2 linked regions of the Macaca mulatta genome follow. The protein of the gene in region 2 binds, or shares a complex with, the protein of the main gene of each other region. Links are inferred from orthologs where the notes say so. Each region holds a gene or a part of one and is shown on either strand. Other genes may lie near its edges.

Evidence for each region.
Region 1: the proteins of SERPINA10 (region 2) and PROZ are in contact, whole or in part, in a crystal structure (PDB 3H5C), measured with the Homo sapiens proteins. The link is inferred for Macaca mulatta from reciprocal best matches to the Homo sapiens genes SERPINA10 and PROZ. Residues at the interface, in NP_001094077.1 of Homo sapiens: Arg88, Lys89, Ser91, Met92, His94, Asp95, His257, Asp259, Lys260, Tyr261, Asn282, Phe283, Lys305, Met306, Asp308, His309, Leu310, Ala311, Leu312, Asp314, Tyr315, Leu316; in NP_003882.1 of Homo sapiens: Cys129, Pro131, Cys141, Leu142, Pro143, Ser151, His250, Met251, Arg252, Asp254, Ala257, Glu259, Asn260, Glu284, Lys285, Asp286, Phe287, His290, Leu291, Thr336, Thr337, Arg338, Arg390, Ser392, Leu393, Trp394, Gln397.

The regions. Positions count from the first base shown.
Region 1 is NC_133422.1:107,392,084-107,400,215, reverse strand, and holds the start of PROZ (vitamin K-dependent protein Z), read right to left. Parts: upstream 4,888-8,132; 5' UTR 4,590-4,887; coding exon 4,520-4,589; intron 4,503-4,519; exon of another isoform or gene 4,392-4,502; intron 3,915-4,391; exon of another isoform or gene 3,715-3,914; intron 3,438-3,714; exon of another isoform or gene 3,276-3,437; coding exon 3,112-3,275; intron 2,917-3,111; exon of another isoform or gene 1,523-2,916; coding exon 1,498-1,522; exon of another isoform or gene 1,026-1,497; intron 1-1,025. UniProt on the Homo sapiens protein: Appears to assist hemostasis by binding thrombin and promoting its association with phospholipid vesicles. Inhibits activity of the coagulation protease factor Xa in the presence of SERPINA10, calcium and phospholipids.
Region 2 is NC_133412.1:167,565,258-167,573,531, forward strand, and holds the start of SERPINA10 (protein Z-dependent protease inhibitor), read right to left. Parts: upstream 5,534-8,274; 5' UTR 5,390-5,533; intron 5,352-5,389; exon of another isoform or gene 4,809-5,351; intron 2,845-4,808; 5' UTR 2,795-2,844; coding exon 2,080-2,794; intron 798-2,079; coding exon 524-797; intron 1-523. UniProt on the Homo sapiens protein: Inhibits activity of the coagulation protease factor Xa in the presence of PROZ, calcium and phospholipids. Also inhibits factor XIa in the absence of cofactors.

The sequences.
Region 1 (8,132 bases), on a different chromosome or scaffold from region 2:
GACCTGAGCAGGAGGAGGGTGGGGGAGGCGGTAGGGACGGGGACCTGAGCAGGAGGAGGGTGGGGGAGGCGGTAGGGATGGGGACCTGAGCAGGAGGAGGATGGGGGGAGGTGGCAGAGACGGGGACCTGAGCAGGAGGAGGCTGGGGGGCAGGGGATGGCAGGGACGGGGACTGAGCCCACTCGTGCTGCTCCCCATGCTGTCGTCTGGCCCCCAGGACACTCCCGCTCAGAACTTAGGTCCGGCTGCCGGTGCCTCCCGCTCTGCTGGGCACCCTTTCTTCGTCCGCATGTGGCCCCCTCTGTCCTGCCCCATCAGCCCTTCTCCGGCCTCCCAGGCCTCTCCCGCTTCCTTCTGTGCCCAGTTGTCTCCATGCTTGTCTGGTGGTGGCTGCAGCTCTTTGCTTACTCATTCCCAGGCCTCCCCCAGCCCTGTGGGTCTCCATCTATGTCACTTCTGTCCCATGCTCTTCTGCAGTTGCCCACCTAGAACTACTCCCTCGGGAGGAGTCCCGCAACCAAAGTCTCCATGGGGGCCATCACTTTCCAAAATTTGAGACAGGTTCTGACCCTGCTGCAGCATGAGGCTCCCCAGGAGCCAGGAGCCCAGGAGCCCAGGAGCCCAGGAGCCCAGGAGCCCAGGAGCCAGGACCCCAGGAGCCAGGAGCCCAGGAGCCAGGAGCCAGGAGCCCAGGTGCCCAGGTGCCCAGGAGCCAGGAGCCCAGGAGCCCAGGAGCCAGGAGCCAGGAGCCAGTAGCCCTGGAGCCCAGGAGCCCGGAGCCAGGAGCCCAGAGCCAGGTGCCAGGTGCCCAGGAGCCAGGAGCCAGTAGCCCTGGAGCCCAGGAGCCAGGTGCCCAGGAGCCAGGAGTCAGGTGCCCAGGAGCCAGGAGCCAGGAGCCCAGGAGCCAGGTGCCCAGGAGCCAGGAGCCCAGGAGCCAGGAGCCCAGGAACCAGGATCCCAGGAGCCAGGAGCCCAGGTGCCAGGAGCCAGGAGCCCAAGAGCCAGGAGCCAGGAGCCTGGAACCAGGAGCCCAGGAGCCCAGGAGCCAGGAGCCTGGAACCTGGAACCAGGAGCCCAGGAGCCCAGGAGCCCAGGAGCCCGGAGCCCGGAGCCCAGAGCCCAGGAGCCCAGGAGCCCAGGAACCAGGAGCCCAGGAGCCAGGAGCCCAGGAGCCAGGAGCCAGGAGCCAGGCGGATGGAGGAGCTGCTCTGGGGGGGCCTCCTGGCCTGTGGCCTGTGTCCCAGAGTGCCCAGAAACTACCCAGACGCTGGGCAAGATAAACCGGCCGCTGCCTGTGGCCCTGGGGGCAGAGCCCAGGGGCTTCCTGACCTGGTCCTCGGGCAGAGTCCGAGCTGCGCCCTTCCCTGGAGAGACATCACGGGTTCTGGAGCCAAAGGCTTGACATCCGCCGACCTGGGGTCATGAAGCGTCCTAAGCCCACCCCTCACCTCATCCCGAGGAATTAATACTTCTGAGGAGATGAAGGAAACCGCTTACCCTTATATCGTCTCCAGAATTCATCCTTTAGAATTAAAACATAAAAGTGTTACAAACAGGACATTTGTTTTTCTATATTCTTTCCTGTAGATGAACTTGAAGGTAAGAAAATGTTGATTTTATTCACCTAATGGGACAATAGTGTTTGAAACAATGCACGGTTTTCCTGTTTTACAGCCTAATTGTTTATGTTAAATGTGTAGTAACTAGATGTATCTGTAAGATAAATTACTCAACATGTGCTTACCAGCACCTATTTGAGGAAAGCCGGAGTCTGTGACGTGGCACAAACCCGCCACACACAGCCCCTAATGTGGCCCTTCCCTCCTAGGGCCAATCTCCACGCCACCCTCCACAAAAGCATGTGATAGAGAAGTCACATCACCTTTTCACTTTTCATAAACCGAGTTGAATTTTAAAGATATGTACCTGTGTAGGGAGTGGGGACGCTTAGTTTGGAGTAGGAGTATCTAAAATTAGGAGAATTATTCAGACTTGAAGCCTAGAAAGAAAATGTATAAAAAATGGCATATCCTAAGATCATATTTGGACTTCTAACAACTTGAACAATGTCATAAGTAGTAAATGAAAAACAATTTTCTGTACCAGAAGTTTGAAAAATGAAATTTAGGGCAAAATACTTTGAAAAATTTTTACACTTTTCACATGCCTGTAGGATTTCTCTGAGTTGTATTAAAAATGATCTATTTCATAAGTTATCTTATAGATAGGTATTTAAGAAACTAGAATTTTAAAAACATTAAAAATTATACTTGAGAAACAGGTCAACATTTAATTTAGAATCAATTTTAGACTGGGCGCGGTGGCTTGCGCCTGTAATCCCAGCACTTTGGGAGGCCAAGGTGGGTGGATCATGAGGTCAGGAGATTGAGACCATCCTGCCCAACATGGTGAAACCCCGTCCCTACTAAAAATACAAAAAAAATTAGCCGGGCGTGGTGGCGGGCACCTGTAGTCCCAGCTACTTGGGAGGCTGAGGCAGGAGAATCACTTGAACCCAGGAGGCGGAGCTTGCAGTGAGCCAAGATCACACCACTGCACTCCAGCCTAGGCCACAGATCGAGACTCTGTCTCAAAAAAATACAAAAAATAAATAAATAAAATAGCAAATTCTTACTTGTGTTATTTAGAGCATACACAGAGTCACATGTGAAGCAAATCATTTATGTAATCCCAAGCACGGATTATGATTTTCTTACTATGTGGCATCCCAGAGAGGACGTTTCTGTTTTCAAGCTTTTTTTTAAGGTCTCTATTAAAAGCATGAAGTTCTCTGAAAGTCACCGCAAGCTGGGCGGCGTGTGTGTTGGACTGTCTGATCAGTGTGTGGGCCTTGCCTGACCTGAAGAAAGTCCAGTGGGGTCTGAGCTGACTTCTGGCCCCACTCACCTGCTGTAGGTAAGGGTGGATCAGTGGGTGGATTAAGTCACTTCTCTAAATTGTTTCCTCATCTGTAAAACTGGGATTGTGTCAACCTCATCAGTAAGTAAATAGGCTCATTAATTAAGCTGAATCTCTGAGAAATGATGCTCCCTGGGTCAGCAGAAGTCTAAATAACGAGGAAGCCTGTGGTTCGTGGTGGGGGGTACATACAGTGACCACTTCATTTTCAAACACTTCTCTTGCTTCTTCATAGGTACAGATTTCTTCGTAACATTCTTTTTCCAAGTTTCCCTCGAAGAGTTCTTCCAGGAGATAGGAGCCCGCGCGCTTCCACCTTGCCAGAACGTCGTTTGCTTTGGAGGCCGGGAGAAATACTACAGACAAGACAAGAAGACGGTGACTGGGAGCACCGAGGGCCCTACTTTCCAGAACTGCCTGGCTTCCACCCCAGCCAGTCGCCAGCCCCTGCCCCTCCGTCTCCACAGGCTCTCAGCCTTCGAGAGCCTCAGGACCACCCCGCCACTACCTCCCCCGAGGTAGGCAAGCACTTCATCCTCTGGGCGAATGGACCAGCCCCGGGATCAGTGCAGATACATTAAGGTTCTGCAGAGAGGCCACGGGCCTCAGTCGGGAAAGTGGAAGAGGGAGGTCTCCAACTGGGTTTTGGGTCCGAGTGCGAAGGAAGGCCGAGCTGGGGTCAAAGGTCATTGTGCTGAGAACTGGGGACCAAGAGCCATCAGCTCCTGTGCTGCCTCTGTGCACAGGATTTAACATCTTGATAAAACACAAAGAGAAGAAACTTATACATTGCAGCAGGCTCTGCGATTTCCAGGAGGAGAAGGCAAACCAGTCTGCCCGCGGCTGTGGTCTCTAGAGGCTCTTCCTGCCCAAGGGCCCCAAAGCACATTCTCTCCCTCTCCCGGAGGGTCAAAGCCCAGGCCCTTCACATCCTGCCTCTCTTTCTCTCGGTGCTGAGGGTTACAGCAGGGACGGCTCAGCTAAGTCCAGCCACGGTAAGTGCTGGGCAGGGCGGTGGGGGCGGGGGGTCAGCCTCTCCAGAGGGAGACCATGGGGCCAGCAGCGACGCTGGGTGTTTGACTTGCAGCTTTCCTGGACGCGTGTGCAGGCAGAGTCAGGATGGAGTCCGTGGCTGTTCCTCCAGCGAAGTGGCTGGTGGTAGAAGGGTGGCAGGCGGGCAGGGTGGCTGCTCCCTGGCTGTGTCTCCTGACTCAAGACTGAGCACTCCTGGCCGGCCTGGCCAAGGCGCTCTCTGCCCACATTGCAGTCTGGGCTCGGCCTGCCCCACCCCCTCCCACCTCCAGTCTGGGCTCGGCCTGCCCCACCCCCTCCCCCCTCCCTGGCCTTTCCCCACCGAATCTCCTGCACACACGCTTCTTTCCATTTGGGCATCTCTTGGGAGGACCCCAAGTGACACCATCATGTCCCAAATACTTGTCACCAAATGATAAAGACCTAAACGGCTTTTTCAGGGGAATTAAGACAAGTCTGGGCACTCAGGGCTCCTCCGGCTCCTGGGAAAAGTGTCACCTACAAATCCACCGTGGACTGAATCAAGGACACAGCACAGGCACGACAGACAGGTAAGCCAGACGCCTACCTGAGGGCTCCGCACGCTGGAGGGCGAGGACCAGGACCAGGCCCTGAAGCAGCGGGATGCAGCCTGCCATTCCTACCCGCAGCACTGGGACAGGGCTGCAAACACAGCCAAAGTCCAGGCTGGGGGAGGTGCTGGCAGCAGGAGCCTCGGGGCATGACCTGCACAGCTGTGTGCTTCCCTCCTGACGTTTTCTGTTTGAGGCCAGGCAGAGAAATGAACAGTGAAGGCTCAGAGGGCCCTGGGAGATATTTAGGGAGACAGAGAATGGAGGGTAAAGGCAGCAGGTGCATGGTGGAAGGAGACACCCATGCCGTGTGTAGTGAGTTGGAGGTGAGACAGGCACAGCCCCAGCCTGGGGACACAGCAGTGGGTGGGACAAAGTCACAATGCAGCTTATGTTCTAAGTGTGTGTGGAATACACAGGAAGGAACGAGGGAAAGAAAAAGGAGTGAGTGAGGGAGAGAAGGATGGAAGATGGAAGGAAGGAAGGGGAGAAGAGGGAGGGAGGGAGGAGGGAGAAAGGGGGTAAGGGCCAAATGGTGTCTGTCACTACAGCTCAGCACCATTGTATCAGAGGCAGCACAGGCAATCATGAATGAACACTTGGTTTTGTGCCAATAAAGCTTTATTTATAAGAGCTATTAAGGGGCCAGATTTGGCCCTAGGGTTGTAATTTGCTGCTTTCAGATGTAGGCCCTTTGTATTAGTCCTTTCTCACACTGTTATGAAGAAATACCCAAGACCGGGTAATTTAAGAAAAGAGGTTTAGTTGACTCCCAGTTCCACATGGCTGGGGAGGCCTCAGGAAACTTACAATTATGGCAGAAGGCACCTCTTCACAGGGTGGCAGCAGAGAGAACGAGTGCAAGCAGCAGAAATGCCAGATGCTTATAAAACCATCAAATCTCATGAGACTCACTGTCCCAAGAACAGCGTGGCAGAAACCTCCCCCATGATCCAATCACCTCCCACGGGGTCCCTCCCTCGGCACGTGGGGATTATGGCAATTACAGTTCAAGACAAGATTTGGGTGGGGACACAGCCAAACCGTATCAGCACTTGAAGCCTGAGGTAAGAACCTGGTGTTTCCTTTCCACTGTGTTGGGAAGATACTGGAGGGAACAGGAATTGACATGGAAAGATTTGTGCTCTGAAGGGATCACTGTGGCTGCTGTGTGGAGAACAGAACATTCCAGAGAAGTCAAAAGGGAGGCTGCTGGCTAGTCCCGGACGGGGCGGGGGTGCAGCCATGCAGCGGGAAGCACGTTTGCAGTCTGGATGCTTCACGAAGGGGAAGCTGATGGGATTCATGATGAATGGGGTCGGGCAGCATGGCTTCAAGGTTTGGGCTGAACGACTGGGAGGATGGCAGTGCATGTGCTGAAATGGCCAAGCTCCAGGAGGGCAGAGGGAAGCAAGGTTTGGAGAATTTGAGGGGTCTCCCAGGGGGAGCGGAGGAGTCACTGCGGGAGGCGATGGGGCTTTGCTGCAGGTTGTCTCTCCCTCACTCTCGGGGGAATCACTTCCCCCCTCTTTGCTCCCCGCCGTGACCGCCTGCTGCTTGCGGTCCTCAGGGTCTCACCTCACACGAGCAGCCACTTCAGTTATTTCCCAAAACAGAGCTGGGCTTCCCTCAGGGGATTCTGGGGGTCTCAGGTCACAGAGTGTCCCCTGGCCCAGGCCTAGCCCATTCTGAGTGAACATGGAGATGACGTGGGTTTAACCCACTTGCCTTTACTTATGAAGAAGGAGATGTTCAGGCAGAGAGAAAATCCCCGCCACAGCAGCGCAGGAGCCCACAGAGCTGAGACGTTAACACCGAGCACGCGTCCAGGACTGGGGCCTCTCCTCCCGCACCTCCCTGGACGAGACCCTATTTCTGGATGGGGCTTCGGCAGATGCTGAGCTGCGACCCCCCAGGCCCTTCTCTCTGCAGCCTCTGGTTTCCTTTCTATCCCGAGGCGGGCACGGGCACCGGGCACCCAGTGTGGCAGGAACCAGGGGTGCAGACAGGGATGGTGATGGCGGGCTTCACTTGTAAATTTTTCCCCAGAGTTCTCTCTGGACCCCACTCAACCTTTGATTTCCAGAAACGGGAATCCAAGTCCAGGGTTTACCTCTGGGGCTGTGGGGACCACGTTGCTGCCTAGGAAATGCAGCCCAACACGTGCTAGTTCCGAGGCAGAAGCCGCTCCTCCAGCAAGGGCTGGCGAGGAGCCCAACAGCTGGCTCCATGGAGGAGGCCTCAGAGCGGGCAGGCCAGGAACGCCCTCCCGCCCACGCTGGGAGACAGGCCCCTCCTCAGACCGTTTCTGGGAGGTCGAACACCTGTCCACTTTGATTTTCCCTAACTTCGCAACATCTGTTTACGAACGGTTTTGCCCAGCTCATGACTTTTTGGGGGAGTTTTTGTACTAGAACTGTTGAACTTTGCTTAGGGACATTACACAAGACGCAAACTGCAGGGGATGTTTGGGAGACACACGGCAGGCCTTATCTGGAGTCTTTTCTGTTTACTGAAGGTTCACTTGGTTTTCATGGCCATTTAACTTGAGGCCAAGGGACAGTGCCGGATGCAGCGGGGTAAGGACTCAACATCTGGACCTGAGGAGAGAAGGAGGAGCCCCCTGAAGCCCCTCCTGCCACACCACCGCCACTCAGCCCCTGAGGAGCTCCAGAAGCTTCCAGAAGCCCCTGGCCAGCTTCACTCCAGAGACTGATTTCAGGGGCCAGGCTGTGGCCTGGATGCAGGCATGCTAAAGCCCCCAGGGGATTCTAAGGGTGGCCAGGGTGGGGGCCCACGGTGTGAGGTAGGTCACCGCCTGGTGAACAGGTCACCCACCCGGGGGATGTCCGTGCGCCCCCACCATGCAAGCCCAAGCTGGGGTGGGGCCTGGCACCGTGCGGTTGAAGAGCACCCGATGGTTTAGGTCAATGCAAAACGTCCGCCCCAACAAGAGGCTTTCTGGACGTTTCCCTACCGGGGAGTCTGTGAGTCCTAGGCAGTCACCGGGGAGGTGTCCAGTTCCCAAGGGGAACAAGAGAGACCAGGCCAGGTGGGAGGTCTTGGGGAGGACATGCCAGCGTGTGGGCCCCTCCCGACCCCACGGGGCCTGCACAGGCTCCCACCTGCCTCTGGGCGTGACCCAGACACAGGAAGCTGTCCAGGGAAAGGAATGCCCATGGCAGTCACAGCACAGTATCATCCTTGGAGCCTCCATCCTGCCCATCTAGAACAGACTAGAACATTCCCTGGAGGAATCCCCAGCCTAGCTGGGAAGGGCGGGAGCTCGGGTTCCAGACGTACTTCACCTTCCCACCCCGATGGCGGGAGAAGCCAGGGCAAGGCGGCAATCGAGAGACATACCAGGCCTTGCGTGGGATCTCACTTTAATGGAGAGGACGTGCTGGCCTCTGGGGCACGGCTCTCAGCCTTGGGCAAGCCCCTGGTTTTCATGGACCTGTCGATCCACTTGAGGAAGGCGGTGACCTTGGTGTAGATCCCGTACTTCCCCTTCCGGGCGCAGCCCTCTCCCCAGCTGACGATGCCTGTCACGAAGTAGGTGTCCTTGAAGCGGGTGACGTGGGGGCCCCCACTGTCCCCCTGGCAGGC
Region 2 (8,274 bases):
ACACTCCCATTCTAGAACTTGTACGATTCTGCCTGTAACATAACATTTCTCTCCCCGAATATATCCACATGGTTTATCCTTCATCTTCAGATGTTTGCTTACTGTTACCTTCTTGGAGTGGCCTTCCCTAACCTCCATCTGCATCCTGATGATGCTCCCTGTTCCCTTCCCTGCATTATTACCTATTTTTAATTTGTTCTTTGTCTTCCTTCAATAGAATGTAAGCCCCATGAGGGCAGACTAATTTTTCCTGTTTTGTTTGCTGATGAATTCCTGGCATCATACTTTTATCACGGTAGCAGAACGTGAAATACTGGTGGACTCAATGAATGATCAGCCAGGCACTCTGTGACAGATGTTGGGGATAGAGTGGAAAAAAAGACAAATGCTGCCCTGCCCTCAGGAAGCTTATAGCTCACTGGAGGAGATGGGCATTAAACCACAGTACATTCAACGAAATTCTGCTGAGTGTTTGCAAGTATGGAAAGGTAGAGTTTGTATAGGATGTGGGCAAGAGTTGTACCTGGTTTTCATGTTTCTGAGCCATGTCTCCACCAAGTCTGTGGTCAGGTAGTCTTCAAGAGCGAGGTGGTGACCCATTTTCTCCATGAGGACCACCAGCATGGTGGCATTTCCTTGGTAGGGCAGTTTGAGGACATGACAATGAAAATTCTTGTCAAAGGTGGAGGCAAACTTGCCTGCACCATACATCATGGACACCTTAATGGTCTTGTACTTGTCTAGGTGGAAAGTGTCGGCTTCGGTGAAGACAGGGTCAAATGGGGTCAGCCATTTCCCTGAACAAGTGAGAGAAGAACTCATTGCAGAAATCCCCTCTTTGAAAAGCATTGTTCTTGCTCAAATAATAAAGAGGGAACCTTCTATCTCACTTCTCATTCCAAGGCGTTCCCTAATTGGGTTTGCTTTTCCACAGCTCAGGCAGGCAAAATAAATTTCCCCAAAATAGCTTTTCCCCGGCCTCTAGCCCAGCTAACAAAATACAGCTCCACTTGCAGGCCCTATTGGGAATCACACACAAAAGCAGGGAAATGTTTCCTAACAATCCCTGGCTTCCCTCATTGTCCTGGACCCGAACAAAATCCACAGTCTTTCCCTCATAGTTGGCTCCAGCTTAGAGAAAAGCCTTTGCCTGGCACCTCTGACTGCCACTTTGTCTCATTCACACCAGGCACAAGCACATGCAGAGTCCAAGGTGGCAGGAGTGACACTTCTCACCCACTGTTTAATGTGGTTCTGAGAGAAGGCCCCACAATGCAGAGGCCACCAGCAGGCAGGTACATGACTCTCCACACAAATGTCTGCCCTGGGGTGTGTGGCCTGGCTGGTTGTAAAGTGGCTTCCCCTGCCGGGGCTTTGCAAGTCTGGTGCCAGCTCTGCGAAAGTGGCATCCAGCCCATATCTAGTACCCCATTAGGGAGGCAGGGCTGGACAGAACCTAGGATCAGGAGGTCAGGAGGTTCTTGTTTGGGTTTTGCCTCTGCCACTTATTGTGTGACCTTGATCAGGCTAACCTCTGAGCTGCTTTGATCTTTAGAAAGGAGACAACAACTCCTGCTCTACCTGCTGATTGACAGTTAGGAAGAACAAGTAAAGCATAGATACTCAGTGTCTGCTATGTGCCAAGTCCATCTGGGCACTTTACATTCATTGTCTCATTTAACCTCTAACTCTATAGTAGGTGGAGTGTCACTATTTTCTATAATAAGAATCTAAGGGCAGAGAGCTGGTCAAAAAAGTAAAAATGAAGGAGCAATGATTCACTTCTAAATCCCCCAGATAATCCCCCCACCTCCCTCTTTTTGGAATGACCCTGTGCTTCTGAACATCAGAGGGGAGCTGTGTAGAGTACTTTGAAAATTATAAGGACTACAAGCACATAGGATGCCAGGGCAGGACCTCAAGTGACTGTTCAATATGTGTATCAACCTGTATTTGAAACCTGAAAACACATTCATAGAAAATCATTTAGCGTTAACCCTATGCTGGCCTAACGGAAGGAAAGGGAGAGACAGTTGTAGGACCCTGTGGCCTTGGGAGAGCAGAATATTATCAAAGTACCTTTGAACAAGATGTAATCCACAAGAATTAATTTGGTTTCAGGATAAATCTCATCAAACAGTTTGGGAATTTTCCCCTGAGTCTCTTTGTTAATGTAATGATTCATGAGCCTTTTGGCCTGTGAGGCATTGTGAAAATTCATAAGCACACACTCTGTATCAAAATACCTCTTGGATAAATTGAGGAAGAGCTCTTTGACATAAAAATCCTTGTGGATGAAGGCAAAACTCCCCTGTGTGAGGCCCAGTTCCAAGTTGTGGGAGAGGGTCTCTCTGAGTCCCTTAAAGAGGGAGGGCAGGAGCCCGGGCTTGGTGGTGTTCAGGGACTGCAAGTGGAGCCCTGTCTTGATCTGGGCTTCGGTCGGCCCTGTGGCCCCCAGCATCAAGCCTGCCATGGCCAAGGACACACCAAATGGAGAGAAGACCATGTTGCCATCGTGCCTCATGGAGATCTTTCGCAGCAGGCTGAATCCGAAGTTTGAAGTCTCCTTGGCAAGCTGCTGCCCACTAGCTATCAGCCAGGCTTTCTCCTCCTCACCGGCCTTCTCGCTGGCCTCCTCCTCATCCTCCTCTTCCTCCCTGGGAGCCTGCACTACCCCGCCGGTCTGGTTCTGAAGGGCCGGGGCCTCTGGCGACTGAGGACTGGGGGCCAAGCTGGGTACCAACCACACCTGTGCCAGGAGGACGGAGAGCAGGAGGCTTGGCACCACCTTCATGTGGTCGGCTGCAGAGGCCAAGGAGTGCCTCCCCTCAGCTGCAAGACTTCCTGTGGAGAGAAGAGGACAGAGATGGTTTTAATGCCTCCTAAAGTGTCTTAGTGGATAGTAAAAGCTTCTTCAGGGACCCTGCCTCCTTCCTGTGGCTAAGTAGGTTAGCCCTGTCCCAGGGAGACCTGAAGCAAGTGTGGGTGACATTTGCTCACCCAATGAGGGGACATTATTTCACAGAGCAAAACCTCCTCTAGTTCCCATTCCCTGCCCAGCTGTCAGGCAGCTCTCGGTCCTGACCCCTTTTTTATTCATCCCATCTCCTTCCTGAGGGCTAGGGCAAGAGACCTCGCTCTGGGAGCAGGAGGCAGCACAGAAGGTGGGGGTCTGAGCAGGTGGAATCAGGGGTCCTCACACACCTTTCCCTGATCTGCTTCGTTCATTGCCCTGACCCTCCGGCCATCAGGCTGCCCATCCAGATGGGTGGCCGGCCTTGCCCTGTGCCCTGTTTGGCTGGGGATTGGAGTGCCTGCATGCCTGTTAGGCAAGGAAGGGGGAAAGTATTGGAGCTTTCCTGGATTTTTGATCAAAATTCTCTTCGCACTGCACCTCTGCCACACAGTTCCTTGGACGTCTTCCTTCCTTCCTATAGCTGCGGCTCCCAGGTAGCAGGAGGCCCCGCAATTCATACAACCCACTGCTGGGCTCCCTCCACTGTGGCCTCATAGAGCCCTCCCAGCCACCTGGGCTGCCTGCCGGCTCTCACTGCCCCCGGCTGCACAGCGTGGGAGCCACACTTCCTCACCGTTCGCTGTCCCCTTCTCTGTTGCCTTTTAGGCTCCCTCCACATCCTTGGACACAGAGCCTGGCTCCCGAACACTTGTATGATTTCCATCCAAATACATGGCTTGGGGCTGGGCTGGGCCACCTAGCTGTGTCCCAACTCAGTTCTGGTGCTGAGCCACACTGCAGGCCTGATCCCAGAGGCTGACTGAGCAGGACCCCCAGGACACCTGCCCTCCCTCATCCTCTCTCTGGGCCCACTGCCCTGGGAGGGTCTGCATGGGGTCGGCCACCCAGCCCAGTGAGCGCAGGGTGGATGCTGCGGGCCTCATGAGAGTTCCCATCCGCAGAGACCCTTATTCTTGACCAAGGTCACCTGCAGCAAAATGTGACAGGCAGGGAACTCCCAGGCGTCTTCTCCCTGATGCAGGGACTGAGTCCTTATCTATGCGTGGGACAAAACCGCCTCCAGCGCCGGGGCCCAGCATGTTGCTCCTTGTTTAGGCTGAATGGCACCCGAGAATTCAGGGCCGCACTCTGCAGTCTGAACGGCACTCCCCTCTGCCTTAAAGAAGCAGTGAAATACTTCCACTGTGTTTCCCAAAGGACACTGTTGAGGAAACTCTTTTTGACTCTAAATGGCAAGCCTGTGTTCAATAGGTCACTCAAGTATTGTAAATGTTGGGGAAATAGCTCTTTCAGTGTAAACGCAGCCCAGTTTCATGCTTTTATTGTTATGGATTGAATGTGTTCCCCCAGAATTCATAAGTTGAAGCCCTAACCCCCATTGTGATTGCAGTAGAGTTGAGGCCCTTGGGAGGTGATTAGGTTTGGATGAGGTCATGAGGGCAAGGCTCCTGTGATAGCAGTAGTGCTGTTATAAGAAGAGAGACCAGACTTCCCCTCCGCACCTCCTTGCCATGGGAGGACACGGTGAGAAGATGGCCATCTGCAAGCCAAGAAGACGGCCCTCCAGAATCCGGCCACACTGGCCCCCTGACTCGGACTTTCAGCCTCCAAAACTGTGAAAAATCAATGGCTGTTGGAGCCACCCAGTCTGTGGTGTTTTGTTAGAGGAGCCTGAACTAAGACGATTACGTGGCATCATTTAATGCTACTTTCTACATGAAGACCACACAGAATACTCCTGAATTCAAGGTTAGTTCTCCCTGTCACAGTGGTCGGGAAATTAGCACAGCACGCCAACCAGATGTCACCGCTTCCAAATGCTGAGTCTTACCTTCCTGTTCTTGAAGCTTGTCCTACAGTCTGCAGAGTGGTAGCCCAGTAATTCCTGGGCGCTCCTGAACAGGTACCCCCTAAGGTCTTTGTAAGGTCTTTGCTCATCTACTCAACCCTTCGAAGTCTAGGCCAGGAGTTCAGGGGGCGCTCCTGGACTAGGACACCATCCAGCATGGTGAGGACGCACCTTCCTAGACAGAGCCCGGGCAGTAAGCAACCACCAGCTCACCCGCCACTTCTCAGCCCTGGGAGAGCACACACCCCTCCTCCCCTCAGCCCTGGGAAGGGGAGCCCTGCTTACTCCGGCAGTGAGTTGCGGTGGGTGAAATACCAAGCCTTTCAAGCCTCTTTCCCTTGGCCTCCTTCCTGCAGAGGATCCCCTTGTGTCTATAATTCACCTCTCACCCCGCTCCAGCTCCTGGTCTGTATGTGCAGTCCCCATGGAGTGCAGGATTGAGGCCTTTGCACTGCTCAGCCACGCAGCCCTCACGTTGGAGCCCACCCAGAGATGATACCATCTCTCCCGGTCCCTCCCTGATTAGACTCGTTGAAGGTCTCCTGTAACCCACTACCTCTTACCAGTGTGTGGCCTTGGGTCCTGGAAATGTCCTTCATTCAGAGCAGAAACCAAAGCTTCAGCTTTGCAGCTGAGAACCTTCAGCAAATATTTGCTATTCCAAAGTATGATTCCCTGTGGGACGGTTACTGATTAACATCCTGCTTGTGATGGTGGAATTTTCAGAAAACCAAAGACCAAGTGGGAGGCTTCCCATACTCCCCAGCTCCTCCTGTAACCCAGAATACGACCCAAATCCCATCGCGAGAGCTTCTGCCTTGCAACTCAAGGCTTCGCCCCAGTAAGATTCAGCTCCTTCTGGGTGGCACGTTGGGGATTTCTCTTGAGCTGTTCCAGGTGCTGAACACCTCGAGAAAGAAGGCACTGGGGGGTCCCGTGTATGCTTCCTGAGTCCCCAACCCAGTGCTGGACACTGTGGGGATGTCGGTTGGGGGGTACAGCAGAGATGTTCAGGACCTGCTCTCTCAGCCCTCAAGTCAGTCCAGTGTGGGAAGCAGACAGGTAAATCACTACTTAGAGTACATAGCTCCTTTCAAGGTAAATTTCCTGCTTTGCAATGTTTCTGTACTTGAGACTGAATCCTTGGGTACTCAGAGTTGAGGCTGGTGGAGACCCTTTATGGGAAAACTTCTCAGACTTCGCAGACTCTCTTTTTAAAAATATATAAATAAATATTTTGTTATGTGCCCCTTACTACTACCCTTGAAGTGAAATGTATAGCTAACATAACCTACCCACAAAATTAAAAAAAACAATGCTGTAACGATAATGTGGAGGCATAATAAAAGAGAATAATGTGTCCCTGAATATGGCAGTGCTGTGGTCTAAGGGCCTGGGCAGGTGCAGTGAGGCCACCCAATATGGAGCCCGCAGGAGGCCGCATGTAAGATGCTCACTGCTGGCCAGTCAACACGACAACCAATGTTACTACCAGGGATAGAGTTTTCAAAATGGTAAATAATGCTTGGTAAAGTTTCAAACAAACAAAATACAGATCTTTGCCTGATTTACACGGTCATTGTCTTCACAGAAAATGCAGTGTGTAGTAAAACCTTGGATAAACATTGTATTTTTATATGAAACAAAGCAGCCCCAGGACTGAGATTCTAGGCTCAGATAATGCCACGTGAACTTGAGGTGGACATGTGAGTCCTGGGGGACCTGGCGGCCTCTTCATCGTGGGAGACTGCCCTGCGTGTTCTGGTATGTCTGGCATTGCTCACCCTCAATCCTTAAATGCTAGTAGCACTCCCCACAAACGTTTGTGAAGAGCAGTAGTATCCCAACAAGTTTCCAGGGTGTTCCTTTCGGGCAGTACCTGCTCTGTTGATAGGCAGTTCTTTAAGAGGTGAAAGTGAGGGTGTAGAGGGGCCAGGCTGGACCCACGCCATGCATATGAGCCAGCCTTGGCCTGCCCATCCAGGTCGAGCTCTGCAGCTGAGGGATTGTGGATTCGCAAAAAGCAGGGGCACTTCCTCCAGGCTTGGGAAGGTGTCTGCTTTGCTAAATGTCTGAGCGGAGCTAGCGAGTGTGCAGGTCTTAGGGCACAGGGCTTCTTTTATTTATTTATTTATTTATTTATTTATTTATTTATTTTGAGATGGAGTCTTGCCCTGTCACCCAGTCTGGAATGCAATGGCATGATTTCGGCTCACTGTAACCTCTGCCTCCTGGGTTCAAACGATTCTCCTGCCCCAGCCTCCCGAGTAACTGGGATTACAGGTGCCCACCACTATGCCTAGCTAATTTTTGTATTTTTAGTAGAGACAAGGTTTCACCATGTTGGCCAGGCTGGTCATGAACTCCTGACCTTGTAATCCACCTGCCTCTGCCTCCCAAAGTGCTGGGATTATGGAGGCATGAGCCACCACGTCTGGCCAGGGCACAGGGTTTCAGAAATGGATCCTTACAAACGAAGGCAGCAGAGTATTCTGGAAAAATTGTGAAGACTTCAACCAGGCCATTGCCTCCTGCCCTGGTGTGAATCTGAGGTCCTCTGCTCCCAATTCCTAGCTGCTGGATGTAAGTTAACCTCATCGAACCGGCCTTTCTTCCTCTGTTAAATGGTCAGAACTCAGACTCTGCCCTATGAATATCTCAGCAGCACCAAGGAACCAGGAAGTGCGTGGACGATCTTGCTCCTAAGGCTGTGAGCCCTGGACCCCAGGGTGTGGCTCAGAAGTCCCCCTCCTTCAGCGACGACATTATTCCTGTACACCTCCCAGCAAGGGAGCCAACCACTCTTTGACCTTTAGCCCTCCAGTTAGATGGGAAAGTGAGAAAACTCAGTGCATAGCACTGTAGCCTGAGCTCTTTCACCAGCAGCATGACCCTGAGCAAGCTACCTAACCTCTCTTAACCTCAGTTTCCCAATCTATAAAATGGGGCTCCCCAGGCTGAGCCGTTAGGACTTCTGGAAGGATGAACTGAAGTGGTGCCTGTGGAGTTTAGTACCTCGCCCGGTAGGAAGGAAGTGCTACAGGAATGGCATTTGTTGCATAATTTTAGAGCCAGATTGAACCTCAGAAGTAAGTAACCCTGTCTTCAGGCTTTGATTTTACAAAGGAAGATATTCAGGCCCCCCAATGAATGCCTTTCCTGTTAGAGTTAAAGCAGGCTGTCTGACTTCTAGTTGTTATGAACTTTAGCTTCTCACACTCCTTGGCCAAAAACGATTGGGAAAGCTCTGGTGGGAAGGCCTCTGGTGACCCAGATAAACTCACAGGTGATATAGAACCTTTCCTGGAACTCCCCTCAGGCAGGAGGCACAACTTCTGAAAGCCACTCTTCAGGGTGACATCGAGGGGCTTCTAAGGCAAATCTGTCCAGAGACCTACAGGGGTAAACATCTGAAAAACAAGTGTTAAGGCAGTCCTGTGAGACCAAA